Astyanax mexicanus: one gene and its partner. The protein of the gene in region 1 interacts with the protein of each later gene in a pairwise test. Links are inferred from orthologs where the notes say so. Each region holds a gene or a part of one and is shown in the gene's direction. Other genes may lie near its edges. The genes, in order: blmh and nudt12.

Region 1 (11,268 bases):
ATGTATCTTCAACAGTTCACACACATTTAATTTGAAAAAATAAGCTTTTATAGAAACATATACAAAAGATTGGGTTCTTTTGTGGAATCTGCCTTGTCGCAGCTCTGTTTCCAAAGATTTTCCTCATTCAGTCATTTGATTTGAGTGAATTGTCTAGGTGAGGTTTAGTTTTGATTTTTTTTGTTTGTAGTCAAAAAAAAAAAAAAAACACCTCAGTTTTCACAGTAAACTTACTATAGATATTGACTGTGTAGAACACCCTGAAGGCAGGACCTGCAAAACCACTATACGTATAATCCTGTAAACAATGTTAACTCAATAAACCCTATTAACCTTTAAACCCAATAAAACAAAATTTTCATATTGGTTTGGGTAGTTATTAAATAATTCACAGTATTTATAGAATACATGTTATTTTGTAAATTTACAAGCAAATAATAGGCCTAGGGGTTTGAGGGGTCAGTGTTCTTTAATTCACCATGCAGTAAGTAGTCTGGTCAGTTATTGTAGCTGTGATGTCTGATGCCTTGGGCATTTTTCACAACTGCCCCCACCCTTTCTTAGAAAGGATTATGGAAATGGCTTCAGTGCAGCCTTTTCACAATAAAGCTATTTACTTGCCTCTCTCTGCAGCTAGGAAGACTACACTTCATGCATGTTGTACGATAACCTTTTTACTAATTAAAATGTATATGCCTTTTTTATTCTTTGTTTTAGTGTGAGCACCAAGTGTAAACACACCAGGGAACAACACGTCACTAAAGGTATTGTAAATTTTATTTTTTCCTTTGTATTTGTGGTAATTTAGCTTTTTCACTTTTTTTATTTTCCACCCCTTTCAATAAAAGTATATAAGATTCCGTATTATTCATTAAGAAAAATAAGAAAATAAGCTGTTGTTTCTCAAAAAGATGCTCTCAGCCAGTCACGGGGCTGTAACACACTGTAATACACTGAATGCATCTCCAATCCACTATTCCAGAGCTTGTTTCTCTGACCTAGCCCCGTTTCCCTGTAAAGCATGGTGCTCATCTGTTCATTTTGGACAGATGGCTGCGGGTAAAGCCTCCATTCCTGCAATATGCGTTTATGAGCTTTCACATAAACTGAGGCAGTCCCCCCTTCCATCATAGTCCTGAAAGGCTGAAGCTGGCGTGATATCTAGTCAGGGGTGACTTTCAATGCATAACCCCATCCCCCACACCTCACACATTGTTTGCGGAGGAGACCCCATCTGCCCCCTCCTCCAGGAGAGCACCACAACTATTGTTAAGCGCAGCCCACAAAGAGAACCGGAGGCACTGGCTGGATTAGGTAACATCTGGCACAAAAAAAATACCAGGTTTATTTATGAGCAACAACACGGCAGCATGCAGTTTAAGAGGGATTGGGGTATTTGATAATGTCCCCATCATAAACTGCCTTTGTTTTGAATAATTATCGGGTTGTTATCATAATACAAATAAAAGCCCGAAAACCACTGCGAGAATAATGGGAGCCTCCCCAGGAATCCTCATTTCTACCTCAACCACAACTGTTACTAGAAGACAGCCTAGGCGTCAAGTATTCATTTATTGCGCTACTTATTCAGTGCATTAACTGTAACTGTCAGTAATTGTAATGAAATTGTAATGCAGTGCCTGGAGACAGATATATACACACATATATAAATCACATAGTACATGGTATTTAATTGTGTGTGGCTTTTTTCAGTATTAAAGTAGAGTAAGAGTGGAGTTGTGTTTAAATTTTAATGTAGACCAGTGCATCTTAGGGCTCTCCTCTCCTCTCCTCTCCAAGCACAGGCAAATTGGAGTCTCCATCTTGAGGCTGAACAATGCCAGTAAAAAGAGAATCACAGCTGAGATCTGCTGCCTGTTCTCCTTTAGAGGGCACTCATCAGACTTTAAGTGCAGGACAAGCCCAGAATTAGAGGAAAGATAGGGGGAATCATTTCCTGTATCTGCTTAAGGTTTCAGCATGAGTGCAGCATCTCCACCTTATTAGCTATAGCAGTGTTTCTCAATCCTCTCCTGCCTCTACTACTCCTAAGATTATAGATTTTTTCTTAATTCCAGCACATCTGATCCATTTAATTAAAAACAGCAGGTGTGTTATTGCCTAAAAAAAAGAAAACACTCAAAAAACAATCAGGCCAATGGTATCCAGGATTGAAAACCACTGTCCTTCATTAGGGCCTAAAATACAAACAATGTGACCAAAGATTTTGGCAGCCACAATGACCTTGGTCAGAAAAAAGTGGATAAGATAAATAATTCATTAATAAAGAGTACTCAAACTATCATGTTCCTTAATTGGATTTTTTTTAAATGTATATATTTGACTGTTTGCCAAGACTATTTAAATGTAAACAAATTTTGTTGAGTTTGGGATTTTACCTGAGATTGTGAGTTTAATTTGCACATTCTTCATTTCCCTTTTTTTTAGCTAAAATATTACACATTCAGAAGACATTCAGTGACATATATTTACACAAAACCTCATTAATACAAAAATCTTTTATAACTATATATGTATCAGACAATTACTGTCATTATTCTTCATACAAATATTCCTTGACATTTTACTATCGCTTAGTGTGAGAAGAGAGTAATTCTTATTCATCTGATGTTACATACAAATTTCTGAATAGTGTTTTTCAACACAGTTAGCTAAGCCAACACCAGACTTGAATTGTCTGTCTGGAAAAATGAAAGCAAACTGAACATTTTTATGTTATAACGTAACTCAAATAATTAATTGTTGGCGGACAGTGACCTAGGTCACTTAGTCCCCATTATGGTAGAACCAGTGTGTTGAAAATCTTAGCTAGTCAATCTAGTCAAATTATCCTACCAAAGCACATATCTAAATATATATATTTTGTATTTTATTTTTCATTTTGTAAATGAAAAACTGTTCTGCCATGTTTAATTGTCCCACCACAGGCAACAATTACTGACAGTGGCAAGCAGCTGTAGGAAAAAATACTGCACATTTTTTGCTACTTTTGCTACTTAATCTAATTAAATTGACACAAATCCATTAACATAAGATTTTTTGGGAGGCTACATCATCTCTAATTTTTAATGTAGCTATAATGTTTAACTGGCATTTTGTAAAGTATACATATAGAACATTGTGTACTAAACAGTTCTTAGCCAAAACACAATACATCATTGGCTATGGTTAAATACATGTGTAAACAGTCCCTAGAATGAGACTGAAATGCACTGCTTTAACACTACTTCTAGACATTCTTTAACAGGCACCAAACCTTTGAAACCCTAAAGTCTGTGAAAAAAGGTTATATTACAATTGTGAGGGGGACCACTGCTCATCACATGACAATGCAACTTATATGAACTGGTTATGTACAATAATCCAGTTTCAAAATAAAAGAAAAATGCTAACATGCTATTAACCTTTTATTAGAATCAGGTAAGTTAAAGTAGGTCATTGTCTCTGTGCTGGAAAGGACTTACATTAACTTTCACTTCCAGCCGAGGGCAGTATAGGCGCAGTTTTAAATTTTATTCTGAGGTAGAAAGAGTGCTTGAAATGAGGTAAACAAATGTACTACTACTCTACTGATAATTTACTTGAGTACAAAATAAAAAAAATCTAGTCAAACAAATTAACTATTTTTTTGCGAGCAGTGGGGCCCTGTGTGGTCAACCTAGCCTCTTCAATCCTTATGTCCAATTCCTCCCTCTGCTGCAGGAGGCTCTCAAAATCGTCTTCTGTGATGACCTGGGCCTCAACATGGACTTTCTTGGTGTTTCTCTTTTTGTAATCGACCCGGGTCAAGATCTCTGCAAGGTCAGGCGGAATCAGTCCTGCTGTCACCAAGGGATGATCCAGATGAGCAGAGGTTTCTGAAGTGGGCGGTTGGGAGGATGCAGAGGGTGTCACTGGAGAGGAGAGTGATGGTGACTCCACGGTCTTCAAAATAAAAGTTTACACCCACATAAAACACTGCTGAAAAGTATCTTTTTAGTTTCAGCTTATTGTAATTGTAATAAAAGACTTTTGAATGTGAGATTTATAAATGTAAAATAATATAAAATATAAAGCTAATTCATACAGAGACAATAAAAAAGTGTGAGAAGAGTAGTGATGGCTGTTATTATATTTACACGTTTTATAGCTATTATTTTATTTACATTTTATTTTATTAAAATCTACGAAGCTAAAGCTGGATGCTAATGGTCATTTAACATTATTTTTAAAAATGTACTTATGTCAAATGTAATTAGATACTTTCCAATTTATCATTTTTTTAAATCAATAATTATTAACCAGAAAGAACTCATAATGATGTATGTGTGTGAATGTGTGATCATCTGACCTTATTTTTAAAGGTGTGCTGGGTTAGTGCTGGAGGTTCATTTTCAATGTGTATCTCTGTTCTATTCTTTTTCATCCATTTTAACAATTCAAATCCTTTAATGAAATGTTTTACATTCTATAGAATTAGTTCTGATAATTTCTAGAACAAAATCTTAAAATTAGTTATGAAATTGGCATTAATATTCGGAAATGGGTCTGGGCTCCTATGGGTTACTAAGTATTGTAATAAATGAATCAACCACTATCAGTTATGACTGGCACAAGAAACTGAAACTTGTTTTAAGACATCTCCCAAATGATTGGGTTATTGATAATTGAGTGCAAGATAATGCATTAGATTACAGTATTCTTGAAGCCAGGGCGGTCATTTTCATTGAACATGTATTTTGTGAAAAACTGTGTGAAGAGAATTAAGGAGAATGGCTTTCCGATCAGTTAAAATCAGAAGAGCTCACTTAATCTTTCAAACTATTGATTCCATTCCTTATTATGTCATAATTGTATCGGCAGGATAATATTTCTTAAATAATTAAGTAATTGAATAATATCACAGTTATAAATCTAGCCATTTATAGAGGTACAATTTGTCTACAAAGCCATTGGCCAAGCTGTAGTATCTAGTGTGTGCCAGGAGGTGGTGGAATTGTGCTTTTGTAGTATTGAGAGACCTAAATAACAAGATGGAATAAAAATATAGAGCTAGAGTGCAATGTTCAGTATGGAGAGCTTTTATGCTCATAAAACTGGTTGAAGTGATAAAATCTTTTCCTAGGAATTTGCAGGTAAACAATTGGATGACCGCTTCACCCTAATGTAGTTGACCAAAATATACAGGCCCTACTTAAAGAGGATATTGGGATCATGTTGTGAAGCATTCTTTTTACTTGCCTTGTGGGGATACTGTTTAATGACATGGTAATACTGACCGCAGTATAAACACAGTTTAACAATTTCCCACTCCTCCAGCTTACAATAGTGATTCTTCAGCAGTTTGCCTTGTTCAGACATGGCTGGGGTAATGAAGCAGTGCAGTCTTCTGTCACAAATTGAAGGAGGCAAGTGGATGTAATTGCAGACTTTCATAGAGGGAAAGGCCAAATTCCGGGTAGAGGTCATAAAACCAGATCAAAACAACAGAGCAGACTTCCAGATTGCATAGGCAGAAATAAAGAACTGAAATCTGACTCATGCAAAAAAAAACATGTTGAAAGACTAATTCTTACATACTAACAAATAAATGATGTCAGAAATGTTTAATTTGACTGTGTGGAAATTAATTAACCTTAGTTTAGCAGGTAATGTCAGAGTCTAAATTGAAAAAGCTACAGAAAAGAAATATGTTGTTTAATCTGTTTTTGCATAATCCAGATCTCTATAGTCATTACATTCAGTTTGTCTGTCATTTAGTAATGTGCATTTGGGAAGCTGTAGCAGAGCCAACATTACATTCATGATTTTATTTGTGATTGTTCACAGACAATTATTGTGATTCATAATAATGTTTAAAATAATTGACCTAGTAGTAGTAGTAGTAGTAGTAGTTCCTTTATTATGTCAGAACTGTAAGCCTGTGTTAACCCTTTTAGACCCTGCATCCATTGCAATGGCCAACACCTGTTTTCTTTTTTTTTTGTGTATTCTTGCATTAACCCAGCTTGCCTGTTGTCCAAAAGAATAGACAATTATCAGCCAATCAAGCAGCAGCTTAGCCCCGCCTACTGCATTGGACAAATGGAGTTATTTTTACTGCTTAAGAATGATTTGTGAAATAAAAAAGTTAAAATTAAATTATATAGAATAAAAATATCAATGTTAAACAAATTATTACAACTGCAATTAACACAGAAATACAAATAATGTATGTATTTTGGAGTGAATTAACGTTACAGACAGAACAACATTTTTTGTTTTGTTTTTTCAGCACTGGAATATAATTCAGGTCTAAAAAGATTAAACACTCAGGATATTTAAAAAATAAATGTATATGTTTTTAAAAATAAAACACTGTTTTAACACTGTGTTTTAAAGTTAAACACCGGGTGGGAGTTTCTCGCGACATGGCAACAGTGCGATTTCCGGAATTCCGAGCGCGCGGCGCTACGCTGACTGGCTGCGAATGAAATAAACAGAAGACAAAAGAAGAAGCGAGACTGCGGGACTGATTCAGAGACTGACACCGCCGAGCTCCAGCGCACAAACATGGAAACACCCGGTACGTTTGCTCTTTAAAGTGTTTTATAATAGTGTCTGCTGTGGAGCCTGTAGCCCAGTCTGTCTCTTTTCTCTGTACAGTCTGTAACAGGGCTGTTAGTTAGCCTAGCTTAGCAGAGCGGAGCTAGCCGGGCTGGAGCTGGAGCTTCACGTCAAACTGGAAGTGATAGCGTTAGCTAGCTTAGCTAGGTTAGCTATGGCAGCCTGAAGCTTGGCTTTAGTTAGTTTAACTAACTTGCCAAGCTGCCTGTTAGCTAATGCTCTCAGCTCACAGACAGCCAAGCTGTTTCCTCTTAGTGTTTGGCTGAAGGCTCCCATCTTCCAGTTCTTCTAATGTAACAGTAGCAGCCTCTGTAGCTCACAGCCCGTAGTTAGGTAGAAATCCAGAAAGTAAAAATCCAGCCCAGGATTTTGTTCCAACCGCATGAACGGTTGTGCTGCAGTCAAGGCGCCCATTAGTTTCAAACGAAATCCTGAAGTGGATTTTTTTCTTTTATGTATCCGGATTATACATATCTAGTAGTTAGCTAGCTATACCCATCAGGAGCTGAGCTGAAGTTCCTCCTGTACTATGTAGCTGGTGCTGTTCTGATTGTGTCTGTTGAATTGGGCCCTAACTCAGGACTTATGTAACCTAAAGCTCAACACCAAGGCAGGCAGTTGTTCGACACCATGGGCTCACAAACCTTCCTGCTGGGCTGCTGTTATTATGTAAATTTGCAAGTCACCCTATAGACTAGCCTTTGCCCCCTTTTTCATAGAAAGTCAATAGCGACAGCTAGTTAACAGTTACACCTGTTCTTGTCCCCTCTGTTCATGAATATAAAGAAGTAAGCTTGTTTTTGTCTTTTAGATCTCAGTCTAAAAAGCCTGTCTAACATGGCATGTGTTTACTCACCCTTTTATGTTGACCACGATTTTCCTCTTTCCTCTATGCTATTGTAATTTGTGAAGTGATGTTTTCACTTTTATTATTTTGTCATTTCCTGTTCATAAGCCTCACAAACAATTATAAGACCTGTCTTATAGCTAACTATTGATAGTTAGACAAAAAAACCAAAAAGGATCAATGAGGTGGCAGGTAGAAATGAATGAAAAATACGCTGAGATTTGAAAGATTTATCAGCCATTTGATCTTATAGATACATTTTTGAATAACTACATAGTTATTACTTATGATTTTTTTCCCTTATTGGGTCAATAAGTATTTTTGCTATGCCCTCCAATTGAAAGTTACATTTTAACATGGGATTTAAATACCCATGTGTCTTTTTAAATGTGAAAAGTACTGATATTTAGTGAGTAAATACAGTACCAGTCAAAAGTATGAACACACATTGTCATTCAATGTTTTTCTTTATTGCTACCTTTAATTTATTGTATATATTGTCAATAAATATTAAAGACATTAAAACAATTAAGGGACACATGGAATTACCGGGTATGTAGTAAACAAAAACTTGTTTTCCTCCACAATCGCCTGACCTAAACCCAATTGAGATGGTGATGTTGGATGTGCTGGAGCATCACAGCATGAAGAAAAGCAGCAACTATCTAAGATAATAATCTGGTTTGTTTTACACTTTTTGTTTACAAAATTATTCTGGATGTCTTCCTGTAAAATGACCTCAATATTAAACTTACAGTGCAAAAAAAAAAAAAAAGAAAGAAAACATTACCCAGGGAGCCAATTACCCCATTCAGTCCACAGTTCTTTGTAAAGTGTGATGCTGTAGCAAATAAACCAGTACTTAATCAAATTATATCAACTAATCAGATTGTAGAACTATCATGATAACCATTTTTTAAATAATTAACTGCTCCAGGACTATTTGTATTAAACAGTATTTTTGTATTTGAAATATATATTGAAATATTCTGACATTTAGAATTAGAATTAAAAAATTAAATATCCTAAATAATTCAAACAGAAAACAAGTAGATAATTTAATTATTGTAATGTGCCCAGTAGAGGTCATGGTCATGCTCACCATTTTCATCAGTAAGTATTTTTCATTTTTCAACAGTGCTCTGGTAGGAGAGCAAAAAACATTTAGGATATTTTACCCACTGAGTTGAAATTGCAGTCCAGTATTGCTGTCTACAGCAGAAGTTTAATTATGGCTAAAGAAACAGCATTGCTTTGCAATTTATTTATTTATATATATTTTTGGACATATGGGCAGATGGTGTAAATTAGTCTTTTACTATGGACACTATATACATCTGGTATTGAACATAATTGTAGGTAGCAGTTCCAAAGTTTATATATTTTTTCGTGTTATAATCAGGCACATTTTAATGTGTGCTGTCAGCGTTGGTATGTGACTGCTTATTCAATACACAATATCTGAGATGTTGTGTTCTTGCAGGTTGCAGATCTAATTTTACATTAAATTCTTTTCAGAAATTAAATATCTGATACGGTCATTGAACATATACGCATTTAATTAGTTTCCACCTATTATTGTTTTGTTGCAATTTTATTCCTCATTGATCCAGGAAGTTGGTTGCAAATAAAAAAAGTCTGTCCTGAAATGAAACTGAATAGTTTCCTCTTTCTGTTAAGCCCCAGGTCTGAATCAGGAGAAGCTGTCTTCTTTTGTGAAGCGGCTGCGGTCCGAGCCTCGGTACATGCTTGCGCAGAATGTGTCCACCTGCATCGACCCCCTAGAAGTGTGCCTCCACAGGCAGACAGTCCAGGACACAGTGCATATCTTCCAGCACTCCATCCCCACGGAGGGTAAACCTGTCACCAACCAGAAGAACTCAGGTAATTGCACTCAAACTGAAACCACCAAACAAACACAGTCTTAAAACCTGTGAGAACAGTTCTGAAAGATATATAAGATATGAGGTATCTGAATGTGGTATCAGGTGTTGCATCACATTCCATAACAAAACAATACACTGAGGAAAAAATAGAATTCTAGTGTAGTGAATGCCTTTCATTTTACATTACAATTTTGTAATGGCTCTGTTTTCAAAGTAAAGTTAACAGCAAGACATGGACCTACATTGTATTTTACTATATTTATCACACTGTGCTATAAATAGTATTATAGTGGCACTATACAGATTTACTGAAAAACAGTTCATCTGTATGTTGTAGATATTAACAGGAATTTCTATGCAATAAGGCATGTGTAGTATGATACCCTTGAAAGGTAGAGTTGCATAAAATATTTAGTTTAATTAGGTTTAACTGTACCTAATGATAATGTTTCTTTTTCTCTGTCAGGGAGGTGTTGGATCTTCTCGTGCCTCAATGTCATGCGACTTCCTTTTATGAAGAAGTTTAACATTGAAGAGTTTGAGTTCAGTCAGTCCTATCTCTTTTTCTGGGATAAGGTAAGGCTGTGGTTGCGTACTAAACACGTCATAATTAAGAATTAATTTTTGCTTTTTTTATTTACCTCTGCGTATTCACATAAACATATAGGTTAAACTGGACAGAGAATGAGTACTCTGTTCATTGATTGTTCTCTGTCATTGTGCATCTCAGACTGTGTGTGTAAATCCTCTTTTGTGTCAGATGTATTGCTGAATGTTTGTCTCTCAATTGTATGGCAGTGTTTTCTCTTAGTTCCTTTGTTCTCACTCTCTCTTTCTATTTTTTAGGTGGAACGCTGCTATTACTTCTTACATGCCTGTGTGGAGACGGCCCAGAGGAAAGAGCCCGTTGATGGCCGGTTGGGCCAGTTTCTGCTCTCAAATCCCACCAATGATGGTGGACAGTGGGATATGCTGGTTAACCTCATTGGTCAGTCTACGCTGTATATGTCAAAGCTGGTTCTGTGATGTATTTAATTGTAGGTATGGGATAATTGGTAGAGCTATGTTCTGAAACAAAAATGTCCAAAAACCCTTTAACAACAGTATCAGTCATATTTGCTTATTTGGGTTTTGTTTCATTTTTGAGGACAATTTTAAAAGCATAATTGTAAACAATTGCGAGGTTTAAAAGCATAATTATCTGATCTGATAATGTATTTTTTTTAGGACTCTTCTCAAAAAGTAAAAAAACAAAACAATTAAAAACAATGTAGAATGTTATTGGTGTATGAGTGCCTATGTTACCTTGGGTAAAACAGTAGCCTATTTAAAACAGACCTTGTACTTCCTTTGGAGTTTTTTATACGGAAGTCTAAACTTCCCTGTCTGAAACCACTTGCTCATATGACCTCTAGTTCATTCATAGGTCCTTTTCTAACTACTTTTGTTTGCTGCATGTTAAACAGAATTACATTGTCTGTCTCTACCTATTAAAGGAAGAATTTAAGGGGATTAAAATTCTACCTTCTCCCTAGTTAGTTAAAAGCATAGGAATTTATACATAGCATAGGAGCACTCCTGTCAGTAATGAAAGTTAGAGAGTGTACTCTTAAATATTTTAAAAGTATAATTTAAATGATGGAAAATGTGGAATAGTACACACTTTCTTAACTGCAGTTGCATAAATTGTTTTCCAGAAAAATATGGCGTCATTCCAAAGAAGTGCTTTCCTGAATCTCACAGCTCTGAGGCCTCGCGTCGAATGAACGATATCCTCAATCACAAGGTGTGCTTTTACAGTTTCTCCTGATGCTGCTGCTCAGTTTAGCCTCCTTTATGCCGTACTGAACTTTTATGGCGACATTTACGAAATGAGGATTAACCGATCAGCCATAGAGCCTACAGGAGAGTAATCTTTCAGGTAAAGAT
Region 2 (11,503 bases), on another chromosome or scaffold:
CCTAAATTAAGCATTTTGTATGATTTTGAATTAGAATTATTATTTTAAGTAGTTAAATAAACTAAAATGTTAATATTCATCCAAAGTCATCCAAACTAAAAAGAAAAACATATGGAATTTTTTAGTAAACACAAAAGTGTTAAACAAACCAGAATATGTTTTATATTTTAGATTCTTTAAAACTAGGGTTAGGTAGGGTAAGTGAACTATGTTTTCATTTCATCACTAACATTGCCCACCCTGTCATGCAGCTTGTTTTGACAGTAAATAAAAAATATAAAGTGATTAAGATGGGATTAGAGTTGCCAGGTTTGCCCTTTTTCCGCCAAATTGGGCTGGTTTGAAAATCCAATCACGGGTGAAAATTCAGGGGTGTCGGGATGCTACTTTTAAAAACAAAAAAAATCACAATGTAACCAGAAATCACCACGTGATGAAAAAAATGTTAAATATATGTTAAAATATAATTATGTTAAATAATAATAAAATAATTATGTTATTTAATAATTATGTTACTATTAAATGTTCTTGACTGGGATATAAAAATGTTATAAAAATGTTACAATATTATTAATGACTTAAGGTAAATAGCAATATTGATAATAAATCCCTTATAAACAAAATAAGTCGTACACTCAGTTGTTTTGCCATTTGCTTGGAAGGGTAGTTTAAGCTAGTTGAAGGGCGGCTTTTAGACTGAGTTTGGGCTGGATATTTTGTTGGACCTGGCAACCCTGTATGGGATAATCATATACATATAGGAAATATTAAGTCATTTTTTTGAAAGGCTTGAGGGCAAATAAGCACAGTATTCTGATAATGAGCCTGCAGTATTAATATAAAAGTTAAAACATGGACAGATAAAGATATTAGACTCTGAACTGTCAGAGATCATGTGTATTCAGCAGTGCTACAGTAACAGTAGTTACCTTTACAGAAACAGAGCACTCAGTCTGATAAAAGTCCTTGTCCTGCTGCTGCTGCTGAGAGGCGATACATATCTTACATGAAGCTGCTGAAACTTCTACTTGCCGCCGCGCGCGGTAATATTCCCCGGTTTAATATCCATTAGCTCTTTAACTGCGGGCTGTTAGTCCGTTAGTCTGTGTTTAACATCCTGAGAGCTGCGCTCGCGGTGAATGTGCCACAGGTACGTCACGCATTTATTACACTGAGTATCGAGTTACTACTGAACTCGACCGCGCGCCCCAGCGCACACGGTCAGCACTGGCATCGTTCTGACAACCAGCTGTTGTTGTTTTAAATAGCAGCAACGTTGTCCCAACGTTTAAAATCCAACAAATGTTCTAAAACAGTGGTTCTCAAACAAAAAGGTTTTAATACCACTTACTGGCGCTACTGTGTGGGCATTACTCACTTTGCAATCTGCAAATTATTGAATACTGTTTTTTTGGTTTGTTTTTTTTACCGTTTACTGTGTGCCATATCATATCATACGCAATAATATCGCCAACATTTTTTATATCGTGAACGGTAGTATACCCTGAAATATTGTGCCATATCACCCACCCCTAATTATCACATCAGGGTACTACTTTTTTGCTGATTTTAGCAAAAAGCATAAAAGCATAAAAATTCACTCTGTTCTCATTTGCCATTATATGTCTGGATAGATTATATCTGTCCAGTATCATTTATTTTACTTTAATCCTGTATATATGAAGATATTTGAAGTGCGTTATTAGTATCTTAACATTCTGGATCATTGAATTCTGTTACAAATCATATGAATGTAATAAATGAATGTAATTCATATGTATGCAATAATAAAATGTAATTTTCATTTTGTTGCAGTATTGTATTCTTGAAATATATATTTTAATTTTGTCATATCGCCAAGAGTATCGATATCGCAAAAATATCATGAAATGTTGTGATATTATTTAAGGGCCATATCATCCACCCCTACTACTGAGATATGTCGGAAATCTTGAGACTGAGGGAAATAACAGGAGTCTGAGAGAATGTAGTGGACTCCACTTGTCCACATGCTACCCCCTTAAACCATAGGCTAATTATTTTGCTTTTATTACTAATTACTAATGGAGTTCCACGGGGTTAAATTGTAGGGCTTATGAAACTGTAAAGAACTGCAGTGTAAGCTTACATACAGAGTCTACCAGGTTAGGCACTAAACACAAACAAACCTGATGTTGTAAAATTTTGAGGTAAAACTTTTTAGATTTCAATTCGTAATATTTTTTTGCATGCATTTTAAAATATATGATGAGCTTTATTGTCAGATAATGAATCTTGGATCATGGGAATTTTGAAAAGTTGTAGTATTTTGACCTTATGACCAAGTTACCTGAGGATAAGGTTATGGCAACGTTGTTACAGCACTGTTGGTTAAACAACAGTGCAACCTTTGGATTTGTTTATATAGCCTCATTCCCTGTTGAAAAATCCAACCCAAGACTGTTTTAATGGTTTAAGCTGGTCTTTGATGGTCAGGGAGGTCGAAAAGCTGTTAAGCCAGTCAAAAACATACCCTATACTGATAAACTAGCTGTATTGTTGCATTTGATTCTGGCAATATGGTTATGCTGGCTCAAGTGTCAATGTAACATTTATCTGACTGAATTTTTACAATCTGGACTTAACAAAAAATAGATAATACATTTCTTTGCTATTTTTTTTTATTTTCTCCTCAAATCTGATGGTATAATACAACTCATATTTGTAAAAAGATGCTATAATGGAAAATTAGATAATTGACTAAATATTTTCTTTTCATTTTCCTGAAATTTAGATCATGAGGTTCAGAAAAGAAAAACTTCAGGTAAATAAATCATAATTAAAAGAAATTAAATAATGAAATTCTATTTTTTGATTTTTACATTTAGCACCCAGCACACCCTATGCTGGATATCATAACCAGCCTGACCAGCTTCACCTGGCCATTCTATTTTTCTTCTGGATTTCTCTTTTTAGGAAGTGGTCAAAAGGCTTAATTTTGAGTTTGTGATGATGTTGGGTCAACATTGTTAAGATGATGTAAACAATGCAACCTTTGGACAACATTGTAGCAAAGTTTTAAAAAAATAGACAACACTGTGACCACTTTATGTGTTTATTTAATAGTGTGCTGCATCCCAGCAGATACACAATGTTGCACAACAATGTCTACTAATGCCGCCTTTTGACAACTGTCAATAATCCTTGTCATATTATCATCCAACTAGACATATGCAAATATTTTAGAACATAGTCTATTTAAAAATTGTGACAATGCTGTGGGCACCAAAACTATTTCCCCAATTGTCACAATGTAACTGTGTTTGCTGGGATATTACTGCATATATTTGTAGTTTTACACTACTCATAATAAAATATTACAGGCTGTATATTCTAGCATTCTAAAGCACTGAAAGACAATAAAAATCTTTAGCTATAAAGCTGGTCATTTAGTTACAGGGTAGAATGTGCAAACAGAATTGTTTTTTTTTTAAAGATTAATACTGTCCTTTTGAGTCTGTTTGAGTTTGGCAACAGACAGACACGAGACAAAGTCCCCCCCTGTGCTTTATAAAGTAAACAGAACAGTGGAGACTGTTCAGCCTGTTCTCTTTTTGCAGCACGTGCAAGATTAGATAGCTTATGTTCTACAGAAAAACATCCAAATAATATTTATCCACATGGTACCATTCATTCTGTAATGCTGCACTAAAGTTTTACCTTATGGAGCTGTATAATCTTGCATTACACCACATTCAGAAAAAAAATCAAGAATGTAAAAAAGTATATTTAGACTCACCACTGGGACTCAAGCAGAGTTTGTTGACTAGGTGGGACAGAACACGTTGGTCGGGCTGCATCATTTCTGTTTTTGTGAACAGACTCATCACAGGAGGACGGTTTCTCCATCAAACACTGAAATGACTCCCTGATAAAAGACCCATCTGTGTTTTTGGGTTTCAGCTGATGAGGAGGTCTCTGACCCTCTGAGCCAGTTAATAAGTGATTAGCTGACTCCTTGTGATTTGAAAATCTAAAAAATCTACTGTGACTAAAGGTTCTTCAATGAGTTGAGTCTCAAATTAAGCAATAAATAGCTATATTTAATGTCCCTGATTAGAAAAAAAAATATCTTGTGTCTCTAATATACACAGTACTTTAATAGTCAGTAGGTTTATATGATTACACTTTTTAAATGCAAATATTTAGCTATGGCATCCAACATAAACCCAAATGGATCATTTTGTAGGGAGAAGGAATATACATTATTTTTATTGTATTTATTTTATTTATTTAATATTCATTATTTTTCATTGTCATTGTTTTAAAAATACTTTCATGCTGAAAAATTGAGTTATAAAGAATTTAACATCATGGTTTTATGTATGCATGCAGTGTTTAAAGATAATTTTTTTAGATACAAAATCCAATTGCTGATTTCTAATATTAATATTATTATTTGGGGGTTGTGCACAGTTTTCTTAAAGCATTGTGAGTGTACAAGAGCTCAGCCCAATATAAACCTTTATATGAATGTTGATTCAATGTCATTTATTAGGCAAGATTTCTTTTTTGTTTTTTTTTTATTATTATTTAGGATATTACAACTTTTTAATGTTTTATTTGCAATGTCTAAATAATTGTGATACTTAAAAACTCATTACTTTTAAAGTCATGTGTAATTGCATTGTTGTGCTTTTATATTAATCATATTGTACATCTCGTAAAATGATATTTAAATGAAAATAACATTGTTTACTGCAAAATCCAAAAATATATATAATTATTGTTAATTATTGATAATTGTTGTTAATTTTACTCAAACATACTATAAAAAGCAAAATCAGAGAAACTGATTCGGAAAATAAAGTGGTCTCAATTTTTTTAAGAGCTGTATAAAAAAAGATTATTTTATTATTATGAGATTCTGCTTGTCCTGCAGTTGGGGAGGGTTCCTACGCTGTGGAAAACGTCATGCCTGGTCCCTGTTCCCAAGAAACCTCGCCCCAGTGAGCTCAATGACTTCAGGCCGGTAGCTTTGACCTCGCACATTATGAAGACCATGGAACGACTGCATCTCCCACTCCTCAGACCCCAGGTACAGCATGCACTGGACCCTCTCCAGTTTGCATATCGGGAGAAGATTGGTGTTGAGGATGCAGTCATCTACCTTCTCCACCGAACCTACTCTCATCTTGACAAGGGGAGTAGTGCTGTGAGAATCATGTTTTTTGATTTCTCCAGTGCTTTTAACACCATCCAGCCTCCACTTCTCAGAGACAAGCTGGTGAAGATGAATGTGGATCCTCACCTGGTGTCCTGGATCACAGACTACCTCACCTGCAGACCACAGTACGTGAGGCTCACTGACGGCACATCGGAGACTGTGGTCAGTAGCACTGGAGCACCACAGGGGACTGTGCTCTCCCCCTTCCTCTTCACTCTCTAAACATCAGACTTCCATTACAACTCTGAGATGTGCCACCTGCAGAAATTCTCGGATGACACTGCCTTCGTTGGTAGTGTGTGAAGGGTGGTCAGGAGGAGGAGTACAAGAGACAGGTGGATGACTTTGTTGCTTGGTGCCGACTGAACCAACTGCAGTTGAACATATCCAAGACCAAGGAGATGGTGGTGGACTTCCGTAGGTCTGGACTACCCTTGCAGCCAGTCTCCATCGAGGGGGTTGATGTGGAGACAGTAAAGACCTACAAGTACCTTGGTCTGCAGCTGGACAACAAACTGGATTGGTCAACAGATACAGACACCCTGTACAGGAAGGGACAGAGCCGGCTCTATTTCTTGAGGATGCTGCGGTCCTTTAACATCTGTAAGGAGCTTCTGCAAATGTTCTACCAATCAATCGTGGCCAGCATTCTCTTCTACGCTGTGGTGTGCTGGGGAGGCAACATGAAGAGGAGAGATGCATCACGGCTGGACAAGCTGGTCAGGAGGGCCGGGGCAGTGGTTGGAATGGAGCTGGACTCTCTGGTTATAATAGCTGAGAGAAGGACTTTGGATAAACTGCTTTCTATCATGAACAATGATAGTCACCCACTTCACACCACCATCATGAAGCAGAGGAGTGTGTTCAGTGGCAGACTGCTGTCACAGAGCTGCACAACAGACAGACTCAGAAAATCCTTCCTTCCGAGAGCCATCAGACTCTTTAACTCCTCCCATTGGGGACGGGATGCTGCTGACGACTGAGTTTAATCCAGGCACACCACTTGGACATTATTCAACAACTTAATTATTTATATTAACACTTCCCCAACCTCGCTTACATTTAAGTATACCTTACTCATGATTGGGTATTCACATTTTCACATTCTCTTTTTAGAACTGTCTTGTAACGTATGCATACTTATATTATATTATATTTCTATGTCACATCAGTCACTTTCGTAATCGATGTCATTGCACTTTACTCTGTTAATTATTTAATTATTTATGACCATTAGCAACATCTACTGCACTGCTCCGTTTACAGATAGATCCTTACCTTGTATAGTTAGTTTTTTTTTTATATAGCCTTATATATTTTCTATTCTTCTGTGTTTTGATTTGTCTGAGTATGTTTCTTATTGTATTGTGTTGTTGCTGCTGGATGCCTAAATTTCCTTCGGGATAAATAAAGTATCTATCTATCTATCTATCTATCTATCTGGGTCTCACCACTAGAGTTCGCTCTTCTACTAAAGACCCGGATGCACACCCGTCCTGCTGGAGGATCACGTGACCTCGTTACGCCATATGTTTACGACGCCAGACCTGGGCTGTGTTCAGCTTCTCATATAGAGTCTCCTGAACTACCTGCTGCCTTGGCTTTGCCTGGTTTGCAGCTTATGGCCTTCTTTAGCAGAAAAACTATTGGGACGCGGCCGTCTTATTTGAACGCGTTGTAGCCTTTCTGCACTTCTACCCTACTTCTGCCCTACTTAGTCACGTGTGACACAGGTGGGTCCTCCTCAAATCAGACTACCAGCCCGTGGAATCAGGTTTGAAGGTTTAAATAAGCATTTTACCTGTATCTAATTCATTCAGAGTATTTATTACACTAAAATAGTACTGGTTAAAATACACTTCACCTCAGCTAGTTAGCTAGTGTTATCTGTCTGTCTCTCTGTCTGACTGTCTAAACTGTGATCAAGTCTGTCCTACTAGTCCAGAGGTCAGGTTAGCTCCCCAGTGCACAATAAGGGCAGAATATTGGTATGAAGTAACAGTAAAGTGGTACCCTTAGGTTCTTCCAATTAAGGTCCCTTATATTACCACGTGTATGTATTTTATTTATCAGAAATCATAGCAGGGTTTATGCTTTTTACGAGGCCGAAGTTGGCGTCTTATTCGCCAGTGTCTTATTCGGATTTTCCGGTCCACCTTAAAAAGTCGAAGTACCAATTATTCGCCAGTAGAGAGCAGGGTTGAGCCGAGCAAAACGAGTTTGGCATTTAGGGCATATTACACTGAGAATACATTGCCTGTTCTGGTTATTTCCAGTTGCCCGAACTCCAGATTATCAAATAATCTGTTGAATTTGACACCACATTATGAAAATATAACTAGTATACTGTGAATAGCCTAAATAACTAGAAATATTACTGTACAGTTTTTTATTATGACCCTCTGAACTTGGCATTTGAGAAGATTAAAGGAGAATAAATTGCCTGTTCTGCATATTTCCAGATGCCCTAAATCCAGATTCTCAAATAGTCTGTTGAATTTTACACAAAATTATGAAACTATACCTATTAAACTGTGAACAGCCTTTATAACAAAAAATAAATACTGTACAGTTTTTTTTATAATGAGCCTCTGAACTTGGCATTTGAGAAGATGTCAGGAGAATAGGTATATTTTCATAATGTGGTGTCTGATTCAACAGACTATTTGAGAATCTGGATTTAGGGCATCTGGAAATATGCAGAACAGGCAATTTATTCTTCTTTAATCTTCTCAAATGCCAAGTTCACAGGGTCATAATAAAAAAAACTGTACAGTAATATTTTTAGCTCTTTGGGCTCATCACAGTGTAATAGGTATGTTTTCATGATTTTGTGTCAAATTTAACAGACTATTTGACAATCTGGAATTAGGGTAACTGGAAATATGCAGAACAGGCAATTTATTCTCCTGACATCTTCTCAAATGCCAAGTTCAGAGGCTCATTATAAGAAAACTGTACAGTTTTTTTTATTTTTCGTTATAAAGGCTGTTCACAGTTTAATAGGTATAGTTTCATAATTTTGTGTCAAATTTAACAGACTATTTGAGAATCTGGATTTAGGGCATCTGGAAATATGCAGAACAGGCAATTTGTTCTCCTTTAATCTTCTCAAATGCCAAGTTCAGAGGGTCATAATAAAAAAAACTGTACAGTAATATTTCTAGTTATTTAGGCTATTCACAGTATACTAGTTATATTTTCATAATGTGGTGTCTGATTCAACAGACTATTTGAGAATCTGGATTTAGGGTAACTGGAAATATGCAGAACAGGCAATTTATTCTACTGACATATTCTGAAATGCCAAGTTCAGAGGGTCATAATAATAAACTGTACAGTAATCTTTGTAGTTATTAAAGATTTTCACAGTTTAATATGTAAATTTTCATAATTTGTGTCAAATTTAACAGACTATTTGAATATGTGGATTTAGGGCATCTAGAAATATGCAGAACAGGCAATTTATTCTCCTTTAATCTTCTCAAATGCCAAGTTCAGAGGCTCATAATAAAAAAAAAACTGTACATTAAATGTTAAGTTCTTTAGGCTATTCACAGTATACTAGTTATATTTTCATAATGTGGTGTCAAATTCAACAGACTATTTGATAATCTGGAGTTCGGGCAACTGGAAATACCCAGAACAGGCAATGTTTTCTCAGTGTAATATGCCCTAAATGCCAAACTCGTTTTGCTCGGCTCAACCCTGCTCTCTACTGGCGAATAATTGGTACTTTTTAAGGTGGACCGGAAAATCCGAATAAGACACTAACTTCAGCCTCGTTACTTTTTAATGGTGTAATTACAGCAGTCATATAAATGTAAGTCAATCTTAGTATAACATTCCTTTTGTGTCCACACAGCATAGTTGTTTAAATTTCATACAAACACTGTGTAACAATATGTTTACCTATATTTACTAAGACATTAAGATTTTAAGACATTATTTCAATACACAGTACCAGTCAAAATTTGGACACATGGACAATGAATTTAATATTGAACACTATATTAAAGCTATATAGGAACACAACAAAAAAAGTGTTAAACAAATCAGTATGTTATATACTTTAGATTCTTCTAAGTAGCAACATTTTTCTTTGATGACAGATCTGCACACTCTTGGTATTTTAATCTCAGTGTCTTCATGAGGTAGAGTCACCTGGAATACTTTTTTTTCACTGTTTTCCACAGTGCTGCCTGGTTAATTTGACTAATTTTTGGTTTAAAGTAGTTATATAATTTATATATATATTTTTAAGTATGTTTTCATTATGTTTTTTTTAAATAATCATTAATATTTATAAGCTATTTTCATATCAAAATATCAAGCTGTGTATAGGAGCTTTACCTCACAGTCACATCACAACCTTCTCACTGTTTTACTTTCAAGGAACCGAAGACACTAATAATATTAATAAATTATATAAATTAAAAAGGTCAGACAGCTCATGGCATGGAAACATTTGGTGACACAGAAACATTTTAGAACAATTTTATGTCATTGATATAATAAGAATAGAACAGTTTAATAATATACATTAATTTAAACATAACCTTTTTAAAGCAGTACCCTTATGTTATACTGAGTATACATTCATTGAAGTTTATGTTATTTAACATATAAGAGCCATTTCTGAATATTTATACCAAATTCAAAATTAAATCAGATAAATACAAGGAACAGCTCTTTCATGTTTTTGTGGGGCACATGACTGTAAATATTTTAAGATTTAAATTGTAAGGTAACCAAACAACAATTTTATAACTGGTATTTTATTATCATACTCTTACAAATCATCTATCAAGAAATAGTTATATTGAACCATTGTCTGCAGCACTAACCCAGCAGTCCTACATTCACACATTATCCTGTAGTGATGCTCTCAGCATTCTCAGAATATGTAACTTAGGAACTTCATGAGTTAAAACTGTGGAACTTTGCACAGTTTTGAAGGGTTCTTTTGGGTTTAATATTCTACAGAAATAGAATAATCTAAATTAGAATGTTGCTTAGTAAAAACAACAAACAATATCGAGAGGTCAGGTGATTGTGGATATTTCTATGTACTGTACAGTAAGTTGATAATGTAATTACTGTGACAGGCCTACAGTGGGGTAAAAGTGTTGACAAATCAAGATACACTCATCTTAAAATAGTAACATTTTCTTTTTTCAGTTGATGGCCTGTGTGAAGTTAACAACTGCACTTTAAGGAATGGAAAAATGAAAACTGTACCCTCTAACAATCTGTATCCTCTAATTACTCCCCCTCAGTGATGTTGTACACAGCTTCTTAGAATAGCAGCTATAGCAATAACATCTAGACTAACACAGCTATAGTTATGTAATTCCAAAAGTATCATATAAAGCTACAAATAAAGCTACAAATGTGATGCATGCATATGAACACAGTGCCAAATACAAGTCACTGTCTGGATATGGCAGCTGGGACTTTGTGTCACTAGATATTCTGTAGATTAAATTACACAGCCTAATGATCTTGACCTTGTTGATGCATCTTTGGGAGCTCACATGAAAAAGCAACATTAAATACATGGCGTTGCAATTATAAAACAGCATGTTTTGTGTGCTGTGCATAATAATAATAAGTGTGAAAAGTTGGCAGTAGATCTGTAAGAGAGAGGAGGGGACAAACCACATTACTACACTAATGTTGTGTAAATCATAACATTGACCTTCTGTGTAGTTAAACAGGTTAAAGGAGAACATGCATTTAGTCATTGTATCATATTGTTCTTGGAGTGGGTTTATGCGCACTACATAATCCAATTGTAGCAGAACATGGGAGTTTTTACTTAACTCTGTTAATAATCAGATTTTGTTTTGTTTGGAACTAGATGTATATGCCTCATTGTCAAAATGTATTTGTCTATTGGTCAGGTTAAAAACTTGGGTCCTTAAAAGAAATGTGATCTTAAGAAACATTTTTCTAATCCTGAATAACACCTATTACTATTAACTAGTCTTTCTTTTTTTCTTCTTTTGTTGTAGCTCAGATCATGACGAGTGTACAGATGAGTGCTCTGGATGAGATGGTCCAGCAGTTCCTGGAACATGCATCCAGTGGTGATTTAGGCAAAGTGTCTTTTTTGATTTCTCACTCCAGACATCTGCTTAATGAAAGTGGAAAACAAGGCTGGACAGCTTTAATGTTAGCTGCAAGAAATGGACACTATGATGTGGTGAAAGCTTTACTATCAGAGGGGTGAGTTTAAAAAAAAGCTACACGCAGACTTTTCACAGTAACTTTTTTGATGATCTATTATCAAAG

The links.
Region 2: the proteins of blmh (region 1) and nudt12 interact in binary tests that used the Homo sapiens proteins (3 or more experiments, as listed by UniProt). The two-hybrid records come from large-scale screens. The link is inferred for Astyanax mexicanus from reciprocal best matches to the Homo sapiens genes BLMH and NUDT12.

Annotation. Positions count from the first base shown.
Region 1 is NC_064425.1:19,208,990-19,220,257, forward strand, and holds the start of blmh (bleomycin hydrolase), read left to right. Parts: upstream 1-6,417; 5' UTR 6,418-6,552; coding exon 6,553-6,565; intron 6,566-9,133; coding exon 9,134-9,337; intron 9,338-9,805; coding exon 9,806-9,915; intron 9,916-10,185; coding exon 10,186-10,327; intron 10,328-11,036; coding exon 11,037-11,125; intron 11,126-11,268. UniProt on the Homo sapiens protein: The normal physiological role of BLM hydrolase is unknown, but it catalyzes the inactivation of the antitumor drug BLM (a glycopeptide) by hydrolyzing the carboxamide bond of its B-aminoalaninamide moiety thus protecting normal and malignant cells from BLM toxicity.
Region 2 is NC_064419.1:36,552,300-36,563,802, reverse strand, and holds the start of nudt12 (peroxisomal NADH pyrophosphatase NUDT12), read left to right. Parts: upstream 1-6,736; 5' UTR 6,737-6,988; intron 6,989-11,223; 5' UTR 11,224-11,231; coding exon 11,232-11,437; intron 11,438-11,503. Other genes in the region: GRAM domain-containing protein 2B, read right to left, coding at 3,779-3,888. UniProt on the Homo sapiens protein: mRNA decapping enzyme that specifically removes the nicotinamide adenine dinucleotide (NAD) cap from a subset of mRNAs by hydrolyzing the diphosphate linkage to produce nicotinamide mononucleotide (NMN) and 5' monophosphate mRNA.